Linked DNA regions of Oryzias latipes. The protein of the gene in region 1 interacts with the protein of each later gene in a pairwise test. Links are inferred from orthologs where the notes say so. Each region holds a gene or a part of one and is shown in the gene's direction. Other genes may lie near its edges.

Evidence for each region.
Region 2: the proteins of cnot1 (region 1) and cnot4 interact in a two-hybrid assay, tested with the Homo sapiens proteins (3 studies listed by BioGRID and IntAct, with this or other methods). The link is inferred for Oryzias latipes from reciprocal best matches to the Homo sapiens genes CNOT1 and CNOT4.
Region 3: the proteins of cnot1 (region 1) and cnot11 interact in binary tests that used the Homo sapiens proteins (3 or more experiments, as listed by UniProt). The link is inferred for Oryzias latipes from reciprocal best matches to the Homo sapiens genes CNOT1 and CNOT11.

What each region holds. Positions count from the first base shown.
Region 1 is NC_019864.2:25,882,153-25,885,775, reverse strand, and holds part of cnot1 (CCR4-NOT transcription complex subunit 1), read left to right. Parts: intron 1-534; coding exon 535-831; intron 832-930; coding exon 931-1,071; intron 1,072-1,160; coding exon 1,161-1,265; intron 1,266-1,436; coding exon 1,437-1,556; intron 1,557-1,749; coding exon 1,750-1,944; intron 1,945-2,085; coding exon 2,086-2,228; intron 2,229-3,520; coding exon 3,521-3,623.
Region 2 is NC_019864.2:13,395,946-13,400,239, forward strand, and holds the start of cnot4 (CCR4-NOT transcription complex subunit 4), read left to right. Parts: upstream 1-1,427; 5' UTR 1,428-1,675; intron 1,676-1,685; exon of another isoform or gene 1,686-1,808; intron 1,809-3,897; exon of another isoform or gene 3,898-3,919; intron 3,920-4,279; 5' UTR 4,280-4,294. Other genes in the region: pseudouridine-metabolizing bifunctional protein C1861.05, read left to right, coding at 1-79, 165-247, 495-705. UniProt on the Homo sapiens protein: Has E3 ubiquitin ligase activity, promoting ubiquitination and degradation of target proteins. Involved in activation of the JAK/STAT pathway. Catalyzes ubiquitination of methylated RBM15.
Region 3 is NC_019879.2:14,490,824-14,494,994, forward strand, and holds cnot11 (CCR4-NOT transcription complex subunit 11), read left to right. Parts: upstream 1-1,288; coding exon 1,289-1,607; intron 1,608-1,686; coding exon 1,687-1,851; intron 1,852-1,922; coding exon 1,923-2,075; intron 2,076-2,397; coding exon 2,398-2,600; intron 2,601-2,984; coding exon 2,985-3,187; intron 3,188-3,302; coding exon 3,303-3,399; intron 3,400-3,484; coding exon 3,485-3,682; 3' UTR 3,683-3,989; downstream 3,990-4,171. UniProt on the Homo sapiens protein: Component of the CCR4-NOT complex which is one of the major cellular mRNA deadenylases and is linked to various cellular processes including bulk mRNA degradation, miRNA-mediated repression, translational repression during translational initiation and general transcription regulation.

The sequences.
Region 1 (3,623 bases):
ATTCACCTAAAGGATAGCAAATTAAAATGAAGTTTACGCAAACGTTTATTCGCCATTTGTTGACTAACCCTCTAACGTTTACTCACCAAAGTGGAGAAAAAGCTTGCAACTGGCAAGTGTTACTTTCAGACACTTCAAAATAAAAGTAAAATTGCATTAGACTCATTCTTCTATTAAGAAAAAGTTGTATTGCAATATATGCAATTATCGTTTTATTGCCCAGTCCTAGTTTGAAGTGAAAGGACCTTCTTCCCTTTCCTCACTCTTTTCTACTAAAAAAAACTTTCCAAATAAAACTTCCTTCAGAATCAGATTAGAAAAAAAACGGGAAAATGTTGAGTTTTTTTTTTTTGTTTCGTTTCTGTGGGCTGGTACCAACTGTCGGCTGTAGCTCCTCCCCACCTGTTGTTTGTGCATCATCCTATTAGATGTGTAGTCTCTGTGCGGTTTAGATGGGCCAAGCAAATCAAAAAGCATCCAAATCTCCAATGTCTTTAGTTCTGCTGTTTCTCATGTGTGCCTGCCTGCTGTCAGATCCCTCTGCTGCAGGCGCACCCCCAGCTGAAGCAGTGTGTGAGGCAGTCAGTGGAGCGGGCGGTCCAGGAGCTGGTGCACCCTGTGGTGGATCGCTCCATCAAAATCGCCATGACGACCTGCGAGCAGATCATCAGGAAGGACTTCGCCCTGGATTCAGAAGAGTCTCGCATGCGTGTTGCCGCCCACCACATGATGAGGAACCTCACGGCAGGCATGGCCATGATCACCTGCCGTGAGCCGCTGCTCGTGAGCATCGCCACCAATCTGAAGAACAGCTTTGCTGCGGCGCTTCGGGTACGCCGAGTTCCTGCACAATCTTTTTGAAACGCAAAACTGTTTTCTCTGCTCTTTTCTTTTTTAACTCACTGAGTTTGAATTTATGGGTTCTGTTAGGCTCCAACCCCCCAGCAGAGGGAAATGATGGAGGAAGCTGCAGCCAGGGTCGCTCAGGACAACTGTGAACTGGCATGCTGCTTCATTCAGAAAACTGCTGTGGAGAAGGCTGGCCCAGAGATGGACAAAAGGCTGGCTACGGTGAGGGATTTAAAATATTCTCATTTCTTTGTTCACATTTTTATCAAAACAATTGAGCCCTATTTTAACATCTACTCTGATGTCTGTAGGAGTTTGAGCTGAGGAAACATGCTCGCCAGGAGGGACGGCGCTACTGTGATCCCGTTGTCCTGACCTACCAGGCTGAGCGGATGCCTGAACAGATCAGGCTGAAGGTGAAATCATGATGACGTCTAATTATGAATCATTAAAATAAGCCGTAGTTTAAAAGTAGTCGTCTTTTTTTCTTCTTCCCCTTAACGTTTTTATTTCTCAAAGCTGGAAAATTTCAGAGATTGTGTCTGATCAGCAGTTTTTATGAGACACGACGGGCTCGTGTGTTGCAGGTGGGAGGAGTCGACCCCAAACAGCTGGCTGTTTATGAGGAGTTTGCCAGAAACATCCCGGGTTTCCTGCCGAGCAACGATCTTTCACAGCCCACTGGCTTCCTGGCTCAACCCATGAAGGTGAGGTCATTTCCTGTGTCCGTCAAGGAAAAAAAAAAGTCCTAACCGTCATTCAGAAGCTGAAATATTGAATGTTTTTCCCTTTTCTTTCTGAAAAAAGAAACACATTTATTTTTGATATTCAGCTCTGTATTTTCTTTTGACAGACGAACCAGAAACATGTTTTTGACTCCATCCCTCTCTTGTGTTTCAGCAACAGGCATGGGCCACTGATGACGTGGCTCAGATCTATGACAAGCTAATTGCAGACATGGAGCAGCATCTTCACGCCATCCCTCCAACTCTCACCATTAACCCTCTGACTCAGGCTCTGCGCAGCCTGCTGGAGTCCGTGGCCTTGGCCAGGAACTCCAGGGATGGCATTGCTGCTCTTGGGCTGCTGCAGAAGGTGCGACTCTTGCAGCTCTGTGTCAAAACAGCTTCACAATCCAAGTCTCTCTGGCAAAAAACACCCGAGCTCCACTGACTTTAGAAATGTTTCTTCTGAAAGTCACGCATTCATATCGATTTGTTTGCTCTGCCCCTCCAGGCTGTGGAAGGACTCCTGGATGCTACAAGTGGTGCTGATGCAGATTTGCTGCTTCGCTACAGAGAGTGCCACCTGCTGGTGCTGAAAGCCCTGCAGGACGGACGAGCTTATGGACCACAGTGGTGCAATAAACAGATCACAAGGTGAGGGATTGAACTGGCTTGGTGGTGCAGTCATGTGGTTACCTTAACTGAGGAGCGATTATAGTTTTTATTTGAGGAATTCAGGGAAAAAAAGACCAGGAAGTGGGGGGCTCAGAAAGGAAAATAGGAGCAGGACTCCACATGCAGTAACTTGATTAAAGAGAACTTTAGTTCCAAAAGCAGAGCATGAACACACAGGAAAGGAAAGGAAAAGCCTCTGCAACAAGAGATAGAAGCAAACATGGAACCAGACACACAAAGAACTATCGGACTACTGTCGTTGCAGCATCTTTAGGCATAAGAATATTTATCCTCAGCCGTAACACGAAAAGAAGCAAAGAGCCAAAGGCATGATCAGAGGACGGGCCACCCAGATCCAACCCAAGTGAACAAAGCTTTATCTCTTCATCTTAATTTATTTGTGAGCTGCAGCTTCCTGTGAATTAACCCCTTTCTCGCCAGTCGCCAAATTAAAATCACTTTTATCAGACAGAATCTCAGACTTAATGACTTTGTTTTTCAGTTGTTTTTATACAAGCACTGAAAATGTAGCAGCATCAATTAACAGCTGCTCAGATGTGAATTCATCAAACCTCTATGATCAGAATAACAATGGTCCCTCATTATTTCCTAGTTCAATTATTGAGATATTGCTGTTGGACCGTTTTTTTTCTTTAGTGCAATTTGGCCTGCTTTGTTATCTTTATTTTTTAACACTGTCCTGTGTTCTGTACCTCAATTGGCTGTACAATTTACATTAAGATTAACTTTATTAATCCCCGTAGGGAAATTCAGTTGTAGCAGCGCCATAAAATAAATTCAAAATATAGAGGGAAGAAAGATGTACAAGCAGAACTCTCAAAACCCCCGTGTACATGGACAGTCATGGCTGCCAGATGAATTGTAGCATCTGATGGCAGGAATGACTTTCTGTACATAAATCTTTAATAGCGAGCAGATAGTTTTCATTCTATAATACTGAGGCTTTTTTCCTGCAAAGGTTGGAACTTTAAGAGTTTAAACAAAAATGTTCATGTGGAAAGAAAAAAAAAAGATGGAAGCATGTAAAGGGACCTTTCCCCGGACCGTCACACTGCCCTACAAGAACAAAACTAGAAAGATAAAAAAGAAAACTAGAGTTGGATTTAATCAAAAGATCTGAGTGTTCCTAAATGTAAAGGAAAAATAGGCCCACAGCTTTTCCTGCATTCATTCTAGTCTTTTTAATGGTAATGTTGGACAAAGCAGCATCCAGAGAAAAATGTAAAGTTGTAACCTGATGCGTGTTTCAGGTGTCTGATTGAATGTCGGGATGAATACAAATACAACGTGGAGGCAGTCGAGCTTCTGATCAGGAACCATTTAGTGAACATGCAGCAGTATGACGTGCATCTG
Region 2 (4,294 bases), about 12 Mb from region 1:
TCTTGGGTCAAATGGGGTGCTGCTGTGTGGGGAGCACAGTGCAGACTCAGTCAACCTGCAGCTGAGAAAACAGAAGAAAGTGAGCAGTTATTCATCTCAGCTATAGAGATAACTCCTGAATCAGCATGGTGGAAATATTTCTGCTGCCTTTTTGTTTTTTGCAGAAAAGGCAGCTTTGTGCAGTGCACTACCCAGCTCTAAATGTGTCCCCAGAGGAGACAGTGAATGTGTCAGGAGCCGGAGATAGGTGCAAAATATTTACTTTTTCTATTTTCAGTTCCTTTTCCTCATTCCCTTTGCTACTATGTGATATTTTGCCTAGTACTCATTAATTTAAATACCAAATCAGTCATCTTTAAAAAGAAATGTAAATATCCATTTGTTTTTCATATTCAGTAAATTAAATTCACTGGGAAAGTTTATAAATGTTTCATGTTTCTTTCTGTCATCGCAACATGTTAAAGAACTTGATCATGTCTTTGTTGTTTTTGCAGTTTTGCAGGTGCCTTGATAGCAGGAATTATCCAGGGAAAAGACACAGACGACTGTGTGCGAATGGGTCTTCTGGCTGCAAAGATGTCCCTGGCATCGCCGCACCCCATATCTCCAATGCTCAGTGTGGATTCCGTAGATCCTACAAAACTAAAACAAATGAATTGGCCAGCACCAAGTTTTTTCTGGATAGACAAGGGTGTACTTCTCTGATTGTTTAAGCCATTTATTTATTTGTTTTTAAAGTTTTAGCCTTTTAACTTTTAATAGTTAAATTTGATTGTAACTAAGTAAACTAATGCATAAAAGTGCTTTGTCCACAATGGTGTAATAAATCAGGAATCAGGAATCTTTATTGTCATTTTATCACATTGATAAATAAGGTAAATAAGGTAATAAATCAAATATGTTAAAGTTGTGGGTTATGGGTGTAAAGGACTTTAAGCAGATAGATTTCAAGTTCAAAAATGTACTTTAGCCGACACCTGCTAATATAAAACCTATATACCGGTACTCTTAAAAAAGTCAGATGAAAATGTTGCAGACATACAGTAAGTGCTATAAGTGTCTGGAAATCATGCAGCCATTTAAAACAGCACAAATAATTAAAACTAAACCTTGATGTTGAGATTTTAGAACCAGGGCTTTTGTTTGATGTTTTGTTTTATAATTATTTGAACAGCTGGGATTATGGTAATTATTATCATATTGTAAAGCAATTGGTGACTATTCTCTGTCTTTTATATTTTGGTATTGTTTTGTTGATGAATCAATTAAAAAAATCATCTACATCTTCCAAATGTTTTTACTTTTTCATTTTTTTTTATTTCGCAAAATCGGGGTTGGATCATGTTAAAGCAAAAGAAGCATGTAAACTCCATCTCCCACAAAGCATCTGTTCTATTGCGCAGGCTCAATGGCACCGAATGTTTGCCCCGCTCCCTCCTCCCTACTATAATGCTAGCTAAGATGGTGGTTTGAGCGTAATTTGTCTCAACAATACCAAGAAAAGAAAGGGGCAAAACATCTTTACAACCTTTTAATTACAGCAGAACAGCACAACTACTGTTATATTAAGTGTCCATTTAGATAAATTGTGACTTTTCTGTTAGATTGGCTTTTAGTCCCCGCCCAATTTGGTGTGACTCCTTTGGAGTGGAATCCTAAGCTAAATACGGACAGGGTAAGTAACGCTAACATTAGCCAAGACCGCTAGCTCGAGTTCCTTCCTATCTCAGTAAATAAAGGGCGGGTGTGCATGTTACGAGCTCTCGCCGACAGGAGAGTTTTGTCAAGATTTCAGAATTGCTGTCCAGGTAATATTGGTGCACTTGGAGCACTGTCAGCTGTTCACTGTACAAGCAATTTGTCTGCAGATATTAGCTTGTGTAGGCCGCAACGTTAGATAGGCTCCAAAACCTTGTACTTCTATCGTTAACTACTAGCATTCAAGCTAAACGCATAGCATTACCCAAGCTGTCATTTTTTTTCTGTCTACAGCAAACGTCATTGCCATTTATTTTTCTTTCTTTCTTTCTGTTTCGTGTCATTGCTTGATTTGTGTTTCGTGTGTTTTGTTTCTCTAGTCACGTTTACAACATAACTGGATACCCGCCAGCAGTCGAACCGGCGTTCTGTACCAATTTGTTGCTAACGTTAGCTTAGCTCAACGTTAGTCAAAAAAACATCTGTCACGATAATGTACGATCCAGAAGACAGAGCCAGTCTGTCTCCACGCAGCTAAAGTCACACGCAGGGTTATCTCTGTATTTTTCTTTAACACGGTGATGTCTGCGAAACAATCAATGATACTATATAATAAACGTCAGTAGCAGGAGGCTATCAACCAATCACCTAAAATGCTGGTGTTGCGTTAATGTAACTTAATTTTGTTTATGTTTATCAATCTGAGGTTGTAATTAAGCCCATCTGTCTTAAGCGATGCTGTCACGTAGAGACCGAGTTAACTATCCGAGTTATTCAACAGGGTTATATTCATAGAGAAACGCACCTATTTTCTCCTAAGCGTCAAACGTGACGTGTAAAACTCTGTCAAGCCACTAGAGATGTACAACACCCGCTTTGACACTTAGCTGTCGGTAGTTCTGTTTCAGCTTTTTCTAGAAACCTAGTTTTCTGACTATTAAATAGTACAGCCACTCATAGTGATTGCTGGTCTGTCCAACATCCCTCAGCATCCTTTATAGGTTGTCGTGTTTTCATCTATTTAATCCAAGTTGTGTTTTGGCATTGCCCAGAGCTCAAGGGGGATCCTTTTGTTTTGTTAGACCATCAGTTCTCTATGCTAGTTGTGTCAAAGAAACTGCAAACATTTTTCACGACTTATAATGGTACAGCACTGTTTTTTTCTCTCTCTGCCTTTCAATATCATTACATAACTTCTTGATTTTTGGTAGTTGTATTCATCTTAATGACCGCTTGTATCTCCTTTCAGATATCTTCTTCGTAGAAAAAAAGCAAACGTGTAATTTTATGCTTTATTTTTTTATATAATACTTTTATTTATTTTCATTTCAAATGTAAAAAATGTTTTTGTACAAAAAGTGATGGAAATTCATGTTGGCTAATACGTGCAGCCAAGATGCGCCTTGCTACATTGCCCGCCCATATTTTATAGGTGTCCAAGGTTGCATTTTGTTGTTGGCCGCACGTGTTATTAAACTTAAAGTTTAAACTCCCATTATCTGTCACAAACCAAGGTGTGTTAAATGTGTTCCCAAATTTGATCCATCCCCTGGAGGAGCGGAGAGCCACACTCAGGATCTGTTTGGTGGTTTAACCCTAACCACAACTGTAATCCTGACCTTAGTCCTTCCTCTGGTTCTGTATGGCCAAGACAAAAGTTTAGGGCTGACCGCACGTATTTGGAGAACTACCTGATTTACTATTTTTTTACGTGTTGGGTTTGTCATCTAGGTTTGATAACAAACTTTCTGAAAAAAAGTCACTCCCCCCTAACCTTGAACTAACTATATTTTTAATTTGCCTGTGTTTTATATGAAATGTTATTTTATATTGAAAATATTGTAGGCATCATTCACAATTATAGGGTTATGTGATTATTTTAAAAACATAATTGTCCGTTTTGCTTACAAAAGCTAGTTTTTTTTTTCTTTTCTATATTTTCTAGTTTTGGAGCTTTCGTTTTAAACTATTCATGACTTTTTTGACATTTTTCTAAATGTATTTAAAGGTTGAATAATGTTTAAAAATAACTGATATACCCATGTCCTGTTGATTTAGTTCAGCTCCTTTTTTAACTGAATAAATCAACGTTGTGCTTCTATTTCCTTTTTTGTAAATGTTTAATTTTGACTTTGTTTCCATTCTTTTCCCTTAAGGAGTCACCTCAGCAAATCAGCTTTTTTGTTTCCATATATAATAACTATTTGAAGATCTGAAAAAGGTCAGTTTCTATGATGCTGACATATTATCAAATTTGAAGTACTACATGTATATGTAGCTCATGTGTCAGCAGGTTCTCTAGCTTTGGAACTGACGATAAACTAGGAACAGCTCTGAAGCAGCCCTATGCAGTTTATCTGTAGCACCAAAAACTTCAGTGAAATATATACGTTCATTTTGTCCATTCGAAAAATATTTTTTATTATTCTATTTGTTTCACTTATGAACTGCTTGAAGTTTTCTTCTGTTTACATCAAATTATACACCAGTCATGTTTACAGCAAATAGTTTGCTCACCTTTGATTTATTACTGCTTATAAGGACCGTATTTGCCTAAAATCATTTTTATTTATTTTTGCAGCCCTGTGCTCTGTGA
Region 3 (4,171 bases), on another chromosome or scaffold:
ATCTCCCGGCAGTCACATATTAGCCATATACTGGCTTGTTTTTGATCGTCTAGATACAGATGATATTAATATTAACATTTTTTTTTTAAAGATGGCAGTCAAATTCCCCGAGCCCTAAATCTAGTAAAAGATTTTTCTAATGGCCCTGCACTTCATCTTAACATCAAAAATGTGAAGAACTACCTATCAAATTTGACAAAACACGATCCATATGTAAAATTCCCATCACATACATGTAACACACCTAGGGATTACTATCACCAAAAATTATGGAAACTGTGTGTTGGCTCTCCAGCAGCAGCAGTTGTCTCTCTTGCCGCTCGGGAACTCTCTCCCGACGCCAAAGCCGTTAAAGACATCCCTGTTACACACAACCGTGTTTGCTTCTTAACTCTTAAATAATGGACACAGGAGACATTTCATTCTGAACCTGAAGTGCAGCTCCCCACTCACTTCGTCTTGACTATGATGAGAGGCTGCGCCTTCCTTTTTATTTTCAACTGCACGTAAAAAAAATTGGCGCATGCTTACGTAATAACATAATCAGACAGAGATCGTCTATGGTGACAGACATTGTACTCCAACACTGTGTAACATACCTAGGGATTACCATCACCTAAAACGAACATAAGAGAAGTTCTTCAAATTTCAGTCCCTAGTAAAACGTTTTAACTTATGGGTTTTAATTTAGGTCTCTTACCTGAGCCTAAAAGGCAGAGTACTGCTATCTCTACCTTCTCTTAACTCTCTCTCTCTCCCTCTCCCTCTCTATCTATCTATTTAAATAAAACAAATGTGAACGATTATTTGGTAGGAATAATTCATATACCATTTCCACCTGCTGGACTGGAGAGAAACTGAAGAAAACTACATCACCCAAGATGCAGTTCACCGGAAAATACGACTAAAAAATACTTCAAGCTAATGGCTCGCAGCACTATCCCATTCAGGGTCTTATTTCTTTCTCAGTCCTGGAAATATTATCTTTTGTAACTCTTTGGTTCGATTGATAAGTTATACGTTCATTTAATCTATTTGGATAATTATTTTTAAAAAGATGATTGATGTTTTGACGAGTTTCCCGGTTTTGTAGCTTATTTTTAAGCTAGGCTAACTTGATGCTAACCGCGTTATAGGATCTCAATCGAGATGACTTCTGGGCCACCGTCCTCCACTCTGCGTCTTCAAAGATGAATAAGCGGGTAAGAGCGCCGCTATAGTTATACAGAAAGACTTATCAGGGACCCCGGTCAATCTCTGCATCCGATCGAACTGTGGCGGGGAAACGATGACTCTGGCTCCAAAGGAACTGTCCAACCTGCTGAGCATAATCTCGGATGAGGCCTGCAACAACAGCTTCGAGACCCTCTCCACTCATTTCCATCATTACTTTGGGAAGGCGGACCACTTCAAGGTGGGTTCGGTTCTGGTCATGCTGCTGCAGCAGCCGGACCTGCTGCCCAGCTCTCCGCAGCGGCTCACAGCCCTCTATCTGCTCTGGGAGATGTACCGAACCGAGCCGTTGGCCGCGAACCCGTTCGCCGCCGTGTTCGCGCACCTGCTAAACCCAGCACCTTCCGGGGATGAGCAGGAGAAAGCCCTGTCCGGTAGGGCCGCTTCCTTTCACCTTTAGCCCGACGTCTCATCAGAACCGCAGCCGCTCAGTCTCTGTTTCGTTGGGTCCAGGCTTCCTTCCTCCCATCACGCAGCCGGAGAAGTTCTTCCTGTCCCAGCTGATGCTGGCTCCGCCCAGAGACCTCTTCAAAAAGACCCCCAGACAGGTGTCCTGCATGGACGTGAGCAACATGCCCCCATCTATAGACATCAGCGGGCTGCAGCTTCCTTTAGCAGGTCAGTGAAGGTTGTAAGGAAACATCTCATCACAGGTGAAGACGCCGTCAATCCCAGCCCTCTTTTTGCAGAGCGCCAGTCAGAGCTGCCCACCCAGAGCAAAGCCAGCTTCCCCAGCATCCTCAACGACCCCGATCCAGACTCCTCCAACTCAGGCTTCGACAGCTCTGTGGCCAATCAGATCATTGAGTCTCTGGTCACAGGGCTGCGTCCTCCTCTGGAGAGTAAGTGCTTTTTTTCACACAAGCTGTGATCACATCTGTGGAAGAAAGAAGGAATCTCCTCAGAAAAGATGGTAGCCGTCTCCTCAGCAAAAACTCACGGTTACAGGTTGATCGGCGCCGACCTGATCTGTTGAGTGCGATTGATCTTTAACTGATACTTTAAAAAAAAAAGTGTTTGAGTGACTGTCTAGAAGGTTTTTGCTGAAGTTATGTCATTTTTCAGTAGTTTTATATTAAAGTATTTAGACTTTGTTCAAAGGCCGTCTGTCTGAAGGTGTTGCTATGAGGCATGGTAAGTACCAGTTTCTCAAAACCCTCCCAGGTCATTTTCGACCCGAGTTCATCCGGCCGACGCCTCCGCTCCACACATGCGAAGATGAGCTGGCGTGGCTGAACCCCACCGAGCCGGACCACTGCATCCAGTGGGATCGGTCAATGTGTGTGAAGAACAGCACCGGCGTGGAGATCAAACGCATCATGGCCAAGGCCTTCAAGAGTCCGCTGTCGGCTCAGCAGCAGTCCCAGGTAGGTCTGATGCTGATCAACAACATGTTTGGTTTACACAAAGGCAAAGTCAGGGTTAAAATAAAAACTTTATTTAAAATAGGAACTCCTGTTCTTTGCAAAGAAACAAAAACTTAACTTCAGATCTGCTCTTTTTTCATTTTTAAATCAAGATTTATCAAAACAAAAACACAATTTGTGGGAAAAGTATTTGTTTCTTTTTTAACCTTTGTCTTCCTGGATTAGTTTTCTGGTGGTCTTAAAAAAAATCAACCTTTATTTTTCCCTTCACTCAAAAACTTTATCGTCCGTTCCCTAAAAGACAAATTATTTCTTGTGGAGGCGTTGACTCCTACTGCTGTGCACCGCTGTCACTCCTCTGTATTGACCTCGCCGTGTGTGCAGCTGCTGGCTGAGTTGGAGAAAGACCCAAAGCTGGTGTATCACATCGGCCTGACGCCTGTGAAGCTGCCTGAGCTGGTGGAGAACAACCCACTGGTGGCCATCGAGATGCTGCTAAAACTGATGCAGAGCAGCCAGATCACAGAGTATTTCTCAGTGCTCGTCAACATGGACATGTCGCTGCACTCCATGGAGGTGGTAAACAGGTGGGGGCGGGGCTTTGGCTGTATTCAGACCTGTTAACGAATCTCCAGTTGGGTTCCAGTTTGGTGCTGTTTCTGTAGTTTGGAAGTGATGGAGTTGTTTGCTCTCCTCCGTCAGGTTAACCACAGCTGTGGATCTGCCTCCAGAATTCATCCACCTCTACATCTCCAACTGCATCTCCACGTGTGAGCAGATCAAAGACAAATACATGCAGGTCAACACGCGTTCTTGGAACTGTGAACTGCTGAAGAGAGCTCAAGAGTTTTCCTCTGGAATAAAAACCCGCTTGATTCTTGCAGAACCGCCTGGTCCGGCTGGTGTGCGTCTTCCTGCAGTCGCTGATCCGAAACAAGATCATCAACGTCCAGGACCTGTTCATCGAGGTGCAGGCCTTCTGCATAGAGTTCAGCCGCATCCGTGAAGCGGCCGGCCTCTTCCGCCTTCTGAAGACCCTGGACACTGGGGAGAACCCGGCCGAGGCCAAGCCCATCAAATGAGCAGGAGTCCTGACATCAGAGGGAGCAGGGAGCCGTACAGCTCAGTCATGAGAGGACGTGCTGTAAATATGCAGCTCTGCGGAGGATCTTTGTCACTGACTCATCAATTTTTTCTTTATTAAACCCTCGAGTTTGTATTATTTTCGATGTCATTTCCTGAGTGATCAAATGTTGCATTAAGTCAAAGCTGCAGAAATTCCATAAGCTGCTATCACTTCGGCAGATTTACTGGAGCTCAGTGAAACATTTGAACTCAAAAGTGTTTTACTCCTTATTTTGTCTCCATAAAATTGTTGAGTGTTTGGTTCTTGTGTGCAGAGTTGTATGTTTGCAAAGCGTGACACAAGTTCTGACCGTTTTCTTCTGCTCCCAGTTTTCTAGCTTTTAAAAATGTTGAGGGTAAAGTTTTGCTGCAAATGCTTAAATCATTTAAAAAGGGTTTCAGATGTCGAAATAAAAAAACTCAGATTTTAGGATGACAAAAAGACC